2 linked regions of the Lepisosteus oculatus genome follow. The protein of the gene in region 1 binds, or shares a complex with, the protein of each later gene. Links are inferred from orthologs where the notes say so. Each region holds a gene or a part of one and is shown on either strand. Other genes may lie near its edges.

Region 1 (7,507 bases):
ACCGCCGAGTCGTGCTCCGGCAGCCAGCGCCCAACGAGAAGCCCGCTGTCGCCCGCGTTGCAGCACCGCGGGAAAAACACCTTCAGCACCATGGCGGCCGGAGCTCTCCGGAACGACGGGACGAGCGTTATCGACAAGCCTCTTCTGGGGAGAAACGGATACGGCCGGGGTTATCCGAAAGAAACTCGGGAAAGCTCACCTCAACGATGGTCATCAAGAGCTTAGCAACCGGCCATACGGACGATCACTGCTGTTCATACAAACCTCATGGAAAAGCCATTAAACTTCATTAATAAACCCACGGTCTCGGTCTTATGGTTGCTAATATCCATCTATTTAAACATCTATAAAGTCCTTAGAAGAGCCCTGAAATATTTTATAACAGTAAATGCAAACAGTTATTAGTTTTAGCCATTCCTTAAGTAATGATCTGAGATGGCGCCACCAAAGCCTACATCGCCCTCAACTGTGGTTTCTGTGGTGGACCATTACATCGGCTCTGGGCTTACACGACTGGGCTGTTTTTCCTCTGCTTGGTGTTGGATAGAGCACCCTGTGTCAGTTAATGCCCTCACGCGTTCTTCACAAGAACCCGTTTATTCGACATTCGAGAAAAACATACTTAAGTCATTAAGGTAGAAATACTACTTCAAGTAGTTCAGGTGGGGAGCTGCGTCAGCATGCGTAGGCTGCAAAGGACCAAGTAATAGGTTTATTCCATGCTGAAAAGAGAAGAAAGAAAACACAACGTTTCGGCCGTTTCACTCCTGAAGAAGGCTCCACGGCCGAAACGTTGGGTTTTCTCTCTTCTCTATTCAGCCTAGAATAAACCTATTACTTGTTCCAATACTACTACACTCTCACTGTGTCTATTGATAAAATCCATACGCATTAGCTCACTATAAGCACTTTTTGCTCATGAAAGTTAACCAGAGATCGAAGTAGCCCTTCCGGATCTGACGAACAGGTTCACAGAGGGGCTGTCCGCCCCTTTTGTCCTTGGGAAGCCGACCTCGACCCGCAATTCCTTAGAAACCTGCTTTCACGGCATGCTCTTTGAAGATCATATTTCTGCCTTCAATTAGCTCACAGATTTGCTCAGAAGTACATACAGCCAAGCACGAAGGTCGAAGAAGATAAAAAGAAAATAGAAAATGCTTAGCTGTTCAACTAAACAGTAGCTAAACGTGAAGTCTACATTTTAATCGTTACTTATACTTTGTGTACCACAACTTCACACTTTATCATCTTAAACCTATCTAACTGAAATAAATAGTGCTTTTTACATGAACACAACAAATGGGGAAGATAATTAGCAGGCACAGAACAGACTTACTGTGTGCTTTTGACCTTCCGAATATCTTAGTCTGAGGACTTTGCTGGGCACGACCGCTGTTTCCAAATTGGTTTCATGATGGTGAGATAGGAGTGTCTGTATCTTGTAAGTGCATGGAATAATTTAAATGGAATAATAAATTATGTCGAACCCACTTAATACAGTGCTTCAGTTTGTTGCAGACTGCCACATTCACTGTAAGTACGATAGCTGTCCGTCGCTGTTACAAGTCCCGTTTGACTCCTATTTCCCACCCGAATTCGTGAAGCAACACGCCACAATATCACCTTGGGGGGCGGGGGTGGGTGTGGTCTCAGTGATAAGAAACGCCCATATCTGTGGTGCGGCTTTCTGTAGCGGGGTATTAGGATTGGAAAGAGGCAGGACAGCCTAGTGTGCCCTAGGATGAGTGTGCCATTTTGAATAAAATGAGAAATTATGTCCTTCTGCTATCCTCCGATGCCCACCAGAGTCGTTTTTAGTCGCTGAAGCCTTGCTTCCGCTTCTCCTGCTCTGTGACCAATCATTATCGGCCATGGGAGGAACACATTTTAAACCCCGCCCACAGCCCTTGTCGCTTCACCATTTCGGGTAGTAATAACCGGCCCCGACGCGGCTCTTAGCACTTCCCCCGGCGTGCAGCACACTTATTCGTCCCCCGGCGAATATGACACACAGCTACAATAGATCCGGCAGAATCTATTGTAGAGAAAGCAGACAGGTTCCAGTTCGTTCTTTTGTGCCGCCATGAAGTACAGTAATACTGTAAGACCATGTCATTTAAAACAATAATGACGAGAATTAAAATGATGGTAATTAATAGGGATAGAAATCCATAAATTATATGGTTGTAAGGAATAAGATCATGTTTAAAATGTAAAACCAGCCGGCTGACCCCTGACTTTTACACTACATTTTAAGATGACAAGCTTTAAGTATCTGGTTTTAATATTTAAGTTATTTTTTTAAGTCCATGATCGGTATATATTTAATCTATACAAATAGCGTTATTTTTTTGTAAACCGACGACAGACCTTCGAAGCTGGCGGTGTTCGGGTGAATTGAATGCTTTTAAATGCTCCAGGGCTGCACCACAGCCCTTTCAGCTGCGCGCTGTCCCTTTCCTCCTCCGTTCTGCATTTTTCTGGCTACAAACGCAGTCACCCACGCCAACCCTGTCTCGCCTCCAAGGTTACTGCAGCGCGCTTCCTAAAGGAGCAGGGCTCCAGACTTGCTCGCTCGCTTGCCCTGGTTTTCCAAGCCTCCCGGGCCAGAGAGGCAGGGGTCAGGGCCGTTGGCAGAGGAGAGACGCCCGGGTACTCACCGCCGTGCTGTCTGGCTGCCGTCTGCGCCTGTCGCAGGGCCCGGGCGCGGGTAGCTCGGCGACTCCGCAAGAGCAAGAGCGGGCTGGCTGAGCGCTACAGACTACAGGAGTCGATAACACACGACAAGCCCGATACACGTGATGGAAAAAGTCTGGATCGCTGCGTTTATTGCCCGCGTTAAACACCAAAATCTTTTAAGCCCCAGAAAATGACTGCCCCCCTCCCCTCCCCCGTGCGGTTCTACCCAGCATACGGTCTTGTGCTTTTTTCATGTTTCATTTTGTAAGGTGTTTTAAATTTTAATATTGATCGTAATGATGATCACACCAAACGCTTACTGAACTATCTGCCAGCAGGCGTCTGGTCACAGTTCAGTGACAATGTGCGGGTGTGATACCACGGTCTGCCGGCCTTATCAGGCACCAAACACAGCGCCAGACAGAGCCCTGGTATCTCCGGGACCGTGAGGTCTCACTGCACGGCTGTTTTAAACGCGGTCTGACGCCAGTACGAATTACAGTGAGATGAGGGGTTGTGCAAAGTGGTACTAAATGATAAGTTATAAACGGCACCAGGGCGCCGCAGTTGCTGTAGAGTACAGAGTCAAAAAAGTCTTATCTATCTAGAAGCAAGAGACGAAGAGAAAAATGTGTTCTGTCCCTACAAAAGGAAAACGTAATAAGGTAACTAAAAGTAAAATAGTATATTTTGTAAAATAAAAAGCAGCAGATTTTGTAAAAACATTAAAAGAAGTCCGCCTGCACAGCTTCTGTAACATCAGTAAATCACAGATAGAGCTATTCATTTCCTCAAACCGCTATGTCTATTAAGCCTCATTAATATTGTTTATTGCTTGTTTTCAATTGGTTTCGCTTTATTTTGATTAAAGCCAGTTCATGACAGAGTACAATTTAACAGAACTGATTTGCAGTACACGGTATTACTTAGCCCAGTTCTACGTTAAAGACATTTATAATGTAATTTCTCTTGCATTAAAAGGTTCGGTTCCCCTTACTGACCTATCAGGTATACTAAAAAGAAAAAAAAAACTAAGTTCAAATCAATGCAAAAATGGTGATCATGTGATTTGTTTATTTTCCTTAAAAAAAGGAAACGTTAATAAAAAAGGGCAATGGTTGTGTTTTTATAAAAGTTGCGCTACCCAAATAAAAAAACTACACTTACCAGACTGCTTGGGGGGAAAAAAAGACTACAAACCCGCAGTGGGTTATGGGTGAAAAAAACGTGCCGTCGACATGGTCTGTTTTTCTTCCTCGAGATGTGGTTGTCTGTGCGACTGTCATTGCACATTTGTACAGTATGCATGTGCATCTGAATAAATGAAGAAGGTTTTATAAAGTCGTTTCGTTGCTGGAACCATGAGTCTCGAAGACGTTTCGAGGAAGACGGACTCGTCTTCAGCAGACCAACGCGCTGTACTCCAGGATTTCACGGTGTCTTTTTTTGCCATGTGCAGACTGGGGTCGTTTCCCTGGAGAGTAAGTCAAATTCTCCTTTGGGCTGTCGAGTGATACTTATTGAACCGCTGTGTTTTGCAGCCTGGCCAAGCGCTGCAGCTTGAAGAAGCAGCTCGAGAAACTCCGAGGGCCGGGAGAGTTGCGGTCACTGTTAAAGGAATAGTGCTCTAGTGTTATAGGGGTGTCAGACATGGTAGCTGTGCCACTAAAGACCCCCCAACGTGTTCTCTTCCAGGCGCTTGAGAAGGAGGTGCAGGGTCCGGACTCTCCTGGCATCGTGCTCCGCATCCTGCAGAGGGTACAGCCGGCCGGCTCGAGTGCAAATACACCAACATGATGCATTGAATATTTCTAAAAAAAAAATAAATGAATGATCGATTACATCCCTCCCCTGTGCTTCTTTCAGACAGTCCACCATCCACTTTGTCTAAAGAACCCCCCGTCCGTTAAATACAGAAGGCTTTTCCTCTCCGAATTAATTAAAAAGGTAATTTAAACGTCAGCCGATTCACACCTTTGCACGGGACAGGTGTGCGCTTCTTTTTGCGTGTGCTCTAATTGCAGAAAAAGCAATGTCGTGCAAACTGCGCGACGTGAAGTCTAGGGCGGCCGGCGAGTCTCCTCCTCACCCCGCTCTCTAACCTCTGTAATCCTGGACAGCACGAAGCCGCGGCGGGGGCGGAGCCCCTGGACGAGCTGTACGACGCCTTCGCGGAGGTCGTGGGAGCGGGGGAAGACCAGGTCTGCCACAAGAGCTACTTTCTGGTAGGAGAGCCCCTCGTTTCCGCCCCCCCTCCCGGTTGTGTCCTGGCGCTGTACCGTCCGAGTGACGCGTCGTGTGGGGTGTCCAGCCCTCAGGGGACACGGTCAGCCTGTTGGAGAGCACGGCGCTCGTCTCAGACGGCACCACGGGCCTGGTGACCTGGCAGGCGGCGCAGCACCTCGCCGAGTGGGCCATGGAGCGGCCCGAGCTCTTCCGCGGCAGGTAGGGTCTTAAAACCCGCCCTCCACGACACTCACTAGCTTGGGGGGGGGGGGCGCAGCCTGTCTTCGCGGGGGTGTCGGAACGTCCCCCTTTTCTCCCCGCAGGGCGGTGCTGGAGCTGGGCAGCGGCGCGGGCCTGACCGGGGCGGTCGTGTGCAAGTCCTGCCGCCCCCGCAGGTACACGTTCAGCGACGGCCACCCCAGCGTGCTGCAGCTCCTGCGGGGCAACTTGGCGCTGAACGGGCTGGCCCCCCCGGGCACCCCTACCCCCGGGCCGGGCACCCCGGCCGTCTCCGTGGCGGAGCTGGACTGGGACGCCGCAGCCCCGGAGCAGCTGGAGGGCTTTCAGGCCGACACGGTCATCGCGTCAGGTGCTGTGGCCCCGGCTGCCTCCCGAAAGGAGCTCCTTTCCTCGTGTCGGTTTCCTTGTTCTCCTCTATGGAAAGCCGGAAAACACTCGTTTTCTTTTGCACAGAGGCGCAGCTTAAAAGGACTTGGAAATGCGTCTTCAGAACTAGATGATCACTACAACCAAGATGCAGACTCTGCTAGCCCAGAGATCACGGTCCAAACCCATAAGCTTCTAATAAGATCACTTTATTGGCCATATACAATTTCTTGTATTGGGAATTTGTCTTTTCGCATACCCCAGCTTGCTCTCCATGAGACACACAGACGGGGAGAGAAGCTGGGGGTCAGAGCCCAGGGTCAACCGTTTATACGGCGCCCCTGGAGCAGTTGGGGTGAAGGGCCTTGCTCAGGGGCCCAGCATAGTAGGATTCCTCTGCCGGCCGCAGGATACGAACCAGCAACCTTCCAGCCACAGGCGCAGATCCTGAGCCACAGAGCCACCTCATGTGTAATAGTTTCAAATGTTACACACTTAGAGCTGGATTAACCCCTGGCTAGAGTTTTGTTCTAAAAAGGCCCTTCCGGTCCTGTCTGTCTTTTTGTTCGACACAGATGTGGTGTACGACCCCGGTGTCATCTGTGCGCTAGTGGGGCTGCTCCTCAAGCTTTTAAAGCTTCCTGTGCAGAGCAGGAGCCCTGACGTCTACATAGCCTCCACCATCCGAAACCCCGAGACGTACCGCCTCTTCAAGAGCGAGCTTGGTAAGACCCGTGTGCCCCCCAGGACAGGGGTCTCGAAATCGTTCCCCTGTGTATGATCCTGCCTTGTGCTCATTCCTTGCCAGCTCACCACAGCCCACGACTGGACTAGGAAGTTATTCAAATCGAACGGCTGGATGATCTTTTATTTTTTGTCTGCAGATAAAGCTGGAATCAAACATCGATCGGTTCCTGGTCCTACAGCACAGGTCTTCCCCTACGACAGAAAATCTACCATCGAAATTGTACAACTCCATTTATTAAATAAAGTGCTTTATTAAAAAAAGTAAACCGTTCTTTTTTTTGTACATAGAGGGTTTTTTTTCTGAACAGGTTTACAGTCCTTTCGATCTGGGTTCGAGTTGAAGACTCCTATTACTAGGAAATCTAATTCACGGTGAATGAGCACCACGCTGGCAGACAACTTCGAAGAGAAGCAAAATCCAAGGGCACCTGAGAAAGTGAAGCGAATTCATCCTCGTAATAAAACCAAGCTGGTCTCTCCCCGAGCCACTCCTGCTGCGCTTTGTCCCCGCTGAAGTTCGGACCCGGGCGAGTGTGGTACCGGGTCAGACCCGGAACCACACTGCGCTGTTCATTAATCTACAGGCCTCGCTGTGTGGGGATGTGTGTGGTCTTGCTGCCCTCTTCCTCAAGGCAGTAACCAAGCCGTGTAGGAAGCCCTCTGAAACGTAACCACACTGGTCACGGCCAGGTGTAGGTACTGATCCAAGAGTGTCGTCCAGCTGTTTCTAGTGTAAGTGCTGAGAATCTGCCGCAGTCTGTTACACAGCAGGGTCCTCAAGAGCGTAGGTGGGGCAGATGTGCCCGGTCTGGCCAGCAGCTGTTCTTGCGACGCTGGCCACCTGCGCCAGGTGGGGTTTTCACTGGACGTCTCCGGTGAGGAGAGGGAGGACAGTCTGCTCCCAGCTCTCATCCCAGCGCTGCAGGCCACAATCCCTCAGGGTCCTTCTGAAGGTACCCAGCATTCCCTGGACACCAGGGAAGTCTGCAAGTAGCATCTGAACAGAGAAGGGCAGAAGAGAAATGAGTGAGGATGGCAGTACATGCAGACATTCAACGTGTCATAAGCTCTCCATAACCTAACAGCCTGGGACTCCTGGATTCAACTGGACATATTTCCAATCTGTTTCACTGAAATGATCTAATGCACATGAAACACAAGGCATAATGCTTTTCCCTCAAGGAACTTTCCAGTTCCTGAAAGTTCCCATCTGCACAATCCCTCAGCTAGAGCTGCGATACTCTGTGCA
Region 2 (7,086 bases), on another chromosome or scaffold:
TTCCAAAGTGTTTCTAGTAAAAGAAGAGCACGCTGCTGACACTTGGGATACTAAGTTATTAGTGAAACTGGAGAAACAATTCTCTTCCCCAGTCTCCAGGGCCTGGTGTTTCCCTATTTGAACAGTTTTCCATTGTTTTTCAACTTGAGAATTTGTCCCATGACTTATTTCTAAAAAAAATAACAACCTAGTTCTGGAGCATTGATAAAAAATTAACTGGATTTAAAAAATCGCGTAACCGCGGGTGAGGAAAATGGTAAAAACTGCAAGTGGAACGAACACCTTCGAGCACAGGTGCGAAGTGCCCATTGTGGCTAATAATCAGCTGCAGTTGTACAAAACCGGCACTTGTTTATTCCATAACAGCAGGTACAGTGTTAGTTGGGTAACTGAAAAAATAACAAGTCCAGAAACTGGTGGGTCCCGTGATGAAGAAAATAAAACTAACCAGCTGTAGACCTGAAAATATAGCAAACAGAAAAGGAAAGTATTAATGGGACCTGGCTAACTCCTGGCTGTAGCCTAACTGACAACTATAAAAGAAACAAACCCAAAATAGGATGGAAAGAAAAACTTAACAAATTTGGAGTAAAAAAAAAAAATCCAGTTCATGCGAGAGCTTTTGCAAGGCTGCGGCTCGCCATGCGTCTCCTCTGGTCTTGGATCTCATTATCTATGCAGAGGTCAGCTGGAGGACCTCTCCTGGTGTTAATGAGGAACTGACCTCCAGCAATCACCTAGTGGAGAAAAGCCCAGGCTATGATCCCAGCACAGAGGGGGTTAAGGATGATCTGAAGGTGACAGGAACCGTGAGGAACAAGGTTCCACAGACAAAGTTGGGACCCATATTAGTTTGACCATCATTCCTCTCCTGGTAGTCTTCCAGGATGCCAGCCGACTGGGTACTGTGGTGGGCAGCAGGTTCTTTTGGATGTGCTCAAACATGCATCGATCCATAGTGTAGTTTTTCCCATGGGTGGGAAAGCTATCTCTAACTACCTCTATAAACACCCCCTATGTAATTGGCCTTTCCCCTGGCTGATAGAGGCTATGTGTTGAAGTGTCTTGGAGATAAGGACAGGGGGCAGCGCTCCACATTGCAAGACAGGGCTTGCGAAGTTCTCCGCTTCAGAGGGTCTCCTCCTTGATGCACTGGCTCCGGCCCAGCCTCCTCCCTCTCTCCTCTGTGAACTGGTAGCACAGGACGCACCACAGGCTCTCCTCGGGCCTGATCTGCACCCCCTGCGTGCTCCTGAAGGGCCGCAGCGCGCAGGAACCTGGGAGAGAGAGAGAGCACGTGCCTCAGGGCGCTGACCGCACTGGTGCGAGGGCGAGGAACGCCTCACTCCGTCCTCCGCCTGCGAGCACCTCCCTCCCCGAGCGCTGCAGTTCCCCGCCGAGTGGAGAGCTCGGCCGCAGCACCTGCTCTGAGGAAGTGGGGCTGTAATTCCCCTTTAACTGCGCCAATCCCCCGCTTTGTTGGTCAAAGTTTTCAGAAACTGATGATTTGAGGGCGTCCTGGGAACCAGAAGACTCGATGGGTTGTCATCCCAGGGCTGCTCACTCCTGCACCGGGGTAAAAATTCACCAGCACGACTACTGCACCTCACAGCACCCTCTGGTGTGTACTGCATAGGGCCACCCATTGAGTTATATTATTGTTCTAGAAATGACTTGTGAGTTCTGTGTCCCGTTGTAACCTGACTGCAAGACAGTTTGAGGTGGGGGTCACCATGCATGAAGATCCACTTTATAAAATACATCCGGATCGCCTGGCAGGTCGATTACCCAGTATGAAGTACGCAGCAGTGCCGAGGCAGAGGACGATGAGGAAGATGGTCATCGGCCCTACGTCCTCCAGGTTGCAGGAGTTGGGGCAGGCACAGGGGCTCCGGACGAAGATCTCCAGGGCGCGGTTGTGCTCCACAGGCTGGGAGAGGGACACGGAGTGGTTGGGGCTGCAGTGATAGTGTACCACAGTGTGGACCAGGCTGCTGGAAAGGACTTGTTAAAGAACATCGAGGGGATAATTACTCCTTCGCACGGCCTGTACTACTCTCACATCACATTCACGGTGGGCAGCAAGACGTTTCTTTTAGTTCTGACCAGGGCCAAAGCAGAGGCACACAATCCCTTTCCACTTACAACGTCACCTCATAGCAAAAAAACAGGAAAAGGTTTCAATTCAATTCAATAAATGTACCTTGACAATACACACTCACACCTGAGGATTACCAAAGATCCTCTTTCAAACTTCCATCTCTTCAAAATGAAATCCCTCATTGATTATGACAGAATTGCTCTCATGTCTGGTTCTTAGACCTAACCAGCCCTTCACTGACATTTAATTATTTGCAAGCCCGGAAGAAGTTACGTTTCTGATGAGCTAACATAAAGACGGCGAACCTGGGTATGTAACTGAAAGGGTCCGCGATTGGTTGTCGTATCTGAATTCATTCCCTTCGTGTTGCCCGTAGTTGAAGTAGCGACTCTCGACGCCGCCGCTGCTTGTGTGGTGTCTGGGAGAGAGAATTGAGTTGTCGGAGGGGAAAAAAAGGTTTAGGTTGCACCTACCCGTGCCAACCTCATCAGGCATGTCCGCCAGCAGTGACAAGGGCACCCTCGCAGTAACCGTACTGACCTCGACATCGGCAGCCAGTGATTCTTATCGGAGTAGAATACAGTAATATGCTGCTATAATAAGGAATTTGTTTTTAAATCATAACAGTTTACTGCAGTATTTGCTCTGAGCATCCGTAAGGTTTGTTTGCTCCCAGTCCTAACAACACCGTTTCGCACTTGGACTACAGTCTCTCCCCACTCCCCTCCGCCCCGCAAGCAGGCGCTGACCCTACCTCACGACCACGCAGGCGGCCACCTCCAGGCACTGGGTGCCGGGAACCTCAGCGGGCTCGGAGAAGGGCGAGCAGGGGCTGAACGACACCAGCACCTCGTCCGCCCCCGCCGGCTCGGCTCTGTAGCGCTGCGGGAGCCCGGCCGAGCCGCCCAGCGCCGCCAGGTTAATGACGCCCGAGCCGTCCTTCAGGAGACACTTGCAGTGGCTCACCTTGAGGCACCCCGGCTTCTTATTCAGGGGTGGAGGAGACGCAGAGGGGAGAATAAAACACAGGGCAAGGAGAAGGATGAATTTGCAGACCTCCATCCCGCTGGGGTGTTTCTGGAGTACGGCGCTGCGTGCCTCTCCCGGGGTTCTCATTAGTAACTCTCCTCTGACAGCTGTGGCAGCTCCATGAGACCGAGGAAAGCAATTACAATGTCACCACCAGATTCCAGGGGTCTGACGCAGCCTGGGCCAGCCGGCGTTGCAAGAGCTGCATTTGGGGATGGCGAGAGATTTCTTCTTCTTATAGAACCAGTGTCAAAATTATCTTTGAGATATTCCGATTTCGCTCTAAGCAGTGATAAAAGTTGAGTCACCCACTGGAATAGGACCACGTTTACGCTCGTACAACTTTTGGCGATTTAATTTAATACCCCGGGAGCTCAGGAGCGGAACACGGAAAGAAAAGAAAATTCGTAGCTGCATCTGAAGAACTTACCACGACGCGCTCTCTAGCTCATAGTGAGACCCATTTTATATTGCAAGGCTGGAGCTCATTTAAATATTTCTTTTAAGAGAAATTATTTAAACGCGCATCAGCGTAACAAGACAACGAGAACATTAACAAAATCAAATCTATATATTTAAAATTCAGAGCAGAAAGTGTATTAGATTTTTGGATGCAACAAAACTGCACCTATACTATCAATATAATGCTATATACCACACAGCTTATGAATGGTACAGTAGCAGAACAGGCCAGTATGTGGCATACTGTATAGAATTAACAGTACAGGTGCACCTTTGTTGCCACCTTGTGTTTTTTCGCATCATCTGTGAAATTTCGAGTTAATTAATATTCTGAATACCTGTTATATCCGTTCACATGTAATAATTTCTTCACTAATGTGAATGATTGCACGCACGAAAGGCTATAGCGAACTCGCAAGCAAAATACCCGTCATCTAATCCAATCTTTTCAAAGTTGGTCACATCGCAAAAAAAACTACATTTCCCATAATTCTTCAAATTTTTGATTGGAAGATTTAGGGACCAATCAGAATTCACCGGAAGTTGGAAGCTCCACGATTTCGTAGAAGGAAGGAAAGTACCGAGTGCAATATGGTGAGTTGGACTTAAACATGTTCGATTTCTGTAGCTATAATAAATATTCCTTTGTAATTTGTGAAGCCTGGTTAATGCTTTATTTAGTGCAATGACTTATGCTTATAAGGCGTTATCTGAGCTGCATTATTGTATCAGCTTTCATAGAATTTGAATGAATTGGCAACTCGGAAAGACAGGTACGTATTTAACGAGATAATATATACTCTTACAAACAGAAACTGTAGCTTTGGCAAGAAATGACGAATTCGCTTTGAAGTGTAGTGTGTATTGTATTCAGTATAAAGTTATGCTATGTGTGGGGTTTAATAAGATACAGTCAACATATCAACCCGTAAAATCTGTGCGTGGATATAACATCTTCTTCGGGGTTAGAGGACAGTTAATCCAAGTAAGCACCTGTGTCGGAGTTTTTGCAGTTGCACAGTCACCTTGCGACAGCAGAACGAAACGCCCAGTGTGATTATCGGTGCTATCGGTTAACATTTCTTTTCCACGGCTTTGCTAGGCTACAGGAGCGGATCAGGCGGTTGGGATGGGCATCGTGAGCTTCAGCCTGCTGCTCTTCACCTATTACACAGTCTGGGTTATAATCTTGGTGGGTATTCACCTCTCTTGCTTCATGTGGATTTTGATCCTCTGGCTGTTTTCCCCAGTGACACAATAGCAGTCTTTGACACGTTTTATAGGGTATATAAGGTGTATACAGTACATATCAATGTATCTTGTTTGCCCCTGAGACTCGCAGACAGGTCTTCATGCCCACTGCTCATGTCCCATTCCTCTCTTCCCCTTTGAAAACATGGGAATGTCGTCTTCAGTTCTGCAGTGGCTTCGCACTTTCACTTTGGCATTTGTTTAGGAATAGCAAAGTACAGCATTGAATAAAGATCTCTTGAAGAAACGCTGCTGTGTACAGTACAGGATCAGATAAGACAGCTGAGACACTTGTCAGACCTTTAGAGATAAAGAATTTCAACCATTTTAAAATATTTGAAAATTCCTCCCAGATGGAGATTTAGTGATGAAGGAGGAGGAGATGCCTGGGGATGTGGGGACATGTGGTAACCCTGGTCTGGTTGTTGTTTTGCAGCCCTTTGTGGACAGTGACCACGTGATGCACCAGTATTTTCTCCCCCGGGAGTATTCTGTCATATTGCCTGGCGTTGCAGCTTTGATTCTGCTGCTCTTTGTAGGTAGGTGTGTTTCTCTTGCAGGGAGGGGATTTACAGTCACTTAACATATCGGCAGCCTGTGCTTATTTTCCCACAAATCAAGGTTTCAGATTGAGGGTGAGCATTTATTAACCTTTTCCAACCTTCGTGAACGTCTCAGCTTGAAGGTGGTTGTTATCATAGCCAGTTCTCTATGACAAACACGAGCTCATGTACTACAATGACCAGAGAACGCAAGACCATTGAACTGATTCACGAATCGCACTCGTTTGTTTCTTGAAAGCATTTACTTCTTTGCTTTGAGGTCTCTCACCTCTTCTCCTTCTGTTTTGGAGTCTTTAAGGCCACGAGTGTGGCTGTGATGATTCACTCAGACATTGTTTTTGTGAAACTGTCTGTTGTTGTTGCTGGTCTGGGTAGACATGGCTACAACATCTGCAGTGCATGAGTCACACTTGCACACTTATTTTTACATTTTGGTAAGAGGTCCCAGATTTGAAGAGAGTTCGTTTGTCTTTGGCCTTCTGTTTCTTTCTGAAGAGAATAACTATGTCTTCTTTTATATTCAGGAACCTTTATCGGCATAGTAACCTGGAAGAACAGGAAACCAAAGAAGTCAGAGTGAAAAGAGCAGCTCGTTCACAAGCATCCAGGAGTCCAACCCCCATGAGTGAGATCAGCTCCTGTGTGAACCGATGAACGAATCCCTTTTCCTTCACATTGCAGAGCACTTTGGACATTCTGTGGGCAAGTCTGAAAAGCGGGCTGCACTGCAGTTTGAGCCATTTCAGAGTCACCTGTGCTGACGTCTCAAGGGTTGAATTAAGGGTAAATCCGAGCGGACGGGGGCTTGTGAGGTTACACCCACAGTGGAGCAGAAATGGAATTTGCTGTGCAGGTCACAGACCGCCCTCTTCCCCCAGGCAAACGTTCGAGGTGCTGCAGAGAAGAATATCGTCCTTGCGCACTCCACACACCCTTAATGACTGCATGGCTGTAAGCACTTTGTCGCAAAAACCCAGAGGGGCCGGCTTGTAATCCACAGAGTCGCTCCCAGATGAGAGCCAGATGACTCATGTAACCCGTTTCCGTCACTGAATTGAAGGGATACAGTTTTTTTTAAAAGCACGATGGAAGTTCTTAATGTTGCCACTAACATTACATCTAAAATGCTTTACCTGCAAGTTTTATTTTAAAAACATTGCGTCAGTGAAACTCCATACTAGTTTTGTGGTGGCTACAGGAAGATGAAATTAATTCCCATGTAATATCAGTGCCCCCTTTGCATTGCAGACAAGCTTGTATATATTTATGTACAGTATGCAGTAAAATTGTGATGTCTACTTAATTACACTTGTAGGCAGCTTTTGTCCTGTAACGTACCTCCATCTGTAAAATGCTGTGACTACCCTTCCAAAAAAAAAAAAACAATGACATCTTGGTTCACAAAACTGCCTTCTTATCTTTTTTTAACAAAAATCACAAATGCATGAATTGTGATGCCTGCACACATTTCAAATGTGAGTGCAGGTATTGACCTTCTCGTACTTTTTGATTTATACACCTTGCGCCTTGTAAGACTGTGTGTTTAGTCCTTAAAATATGAAGTGTATGTAAAAAAACACACATGCTTCAAGGCTGACTAAAGACCCAGCATGTTAAAGTTGATTTCAGTGGATGGAGGGATGGTGTGTTTAATGTACTGTTGTGCTCCAAAGTTCATAC

What was found. The genes of interacting proteins can lie anywhere in the genome.
Region 2: pigq (region 1) and dpm2 share a complex: the UniProt entries of both Homo sapiens proteins name them as parts of the glycosylphosphatidylinositol-N-acetylglucosaminyltransferase (GPI-GnT) complex. The link is inferred for Lepisosteus oculatus from reciprocal best matches to the Homo sapiens genes PIGQ and DPM2.

The regions. Positions count from the first base shown.
Region 1 is NC_090714.1:14,954,695-14,962,201, reverse strand, and holds the start of pigq (phosphatidylinositol N-acetylglucosaminyltransferase subunit Q), read right to left. Parts: upstream 3,013-7,507; 5' UTR 2,661-3,012; intron 2,623-2,660; exon of another isoform or gene 2,371-2,622; intron 2,036-2,370; 5' UTR 1,961-2,035; intron 1,650-1,960; exon of another isoform or gene 1,337-1,649; intron 146-1,336; 5' UTR 93-145; coding exon 1-92. Other genes in the region: protein-lysine N-methyltransferase EEF2KMT, read left to right, coding at 4,041-4,160, 4,375-4,437, 4,546-4,626, 4,800-4,904, 4,991-5,124, 5,229-5,494, 6,087-6,236, 6,396-6,514; alg1 (chitobiosyldiphosphodolichol beta-mannosyltransferase), read right to left, coding at 7,118-7,255. UniProt on the Homo sapiens protein: Part of the glycosylphosphatidylinositol-N-acetylglucosaminyltransferase (GPI-GnT) complex that catalyzes the transfer of N-acetylglucosamine from UDP-N-acetylglucosamine to phosphatidylinositol and participates in the first step of GPI biosynthesis.
Region 2 is NC_090719.1:15,315,812-15,322,897, forward strand, and holds the start of dpm2 (dolichol phosphate-mannose biosynthesis regulatory protein), read left to right. Parts: upstream 1-4,086; 5' UTR 4,087-4,183; coding exon 4,184-4,186; intron 4,187-4,694; coding exon 4,695-4,784; intron 4,785-5,279; coding exon 5,280-5,382; intron 5,383-5,930; coding exon 5,931-5,986; 3' UTR 5,987-7,086. Other genes in the region: uncharacterized protein, read right to left, coding at 1,129-1,277, 1,789-2,004, 2,392-2,519, 2,856-3,217. UniProt on the Homo sapiens protein: Regulates the biosynthesis of dolichol phosphate-mannose. Regulatory subunit of the dolichol-phosphate mannose (DPM) synthase complex; essential for the ER localization and stable expression of DPM1.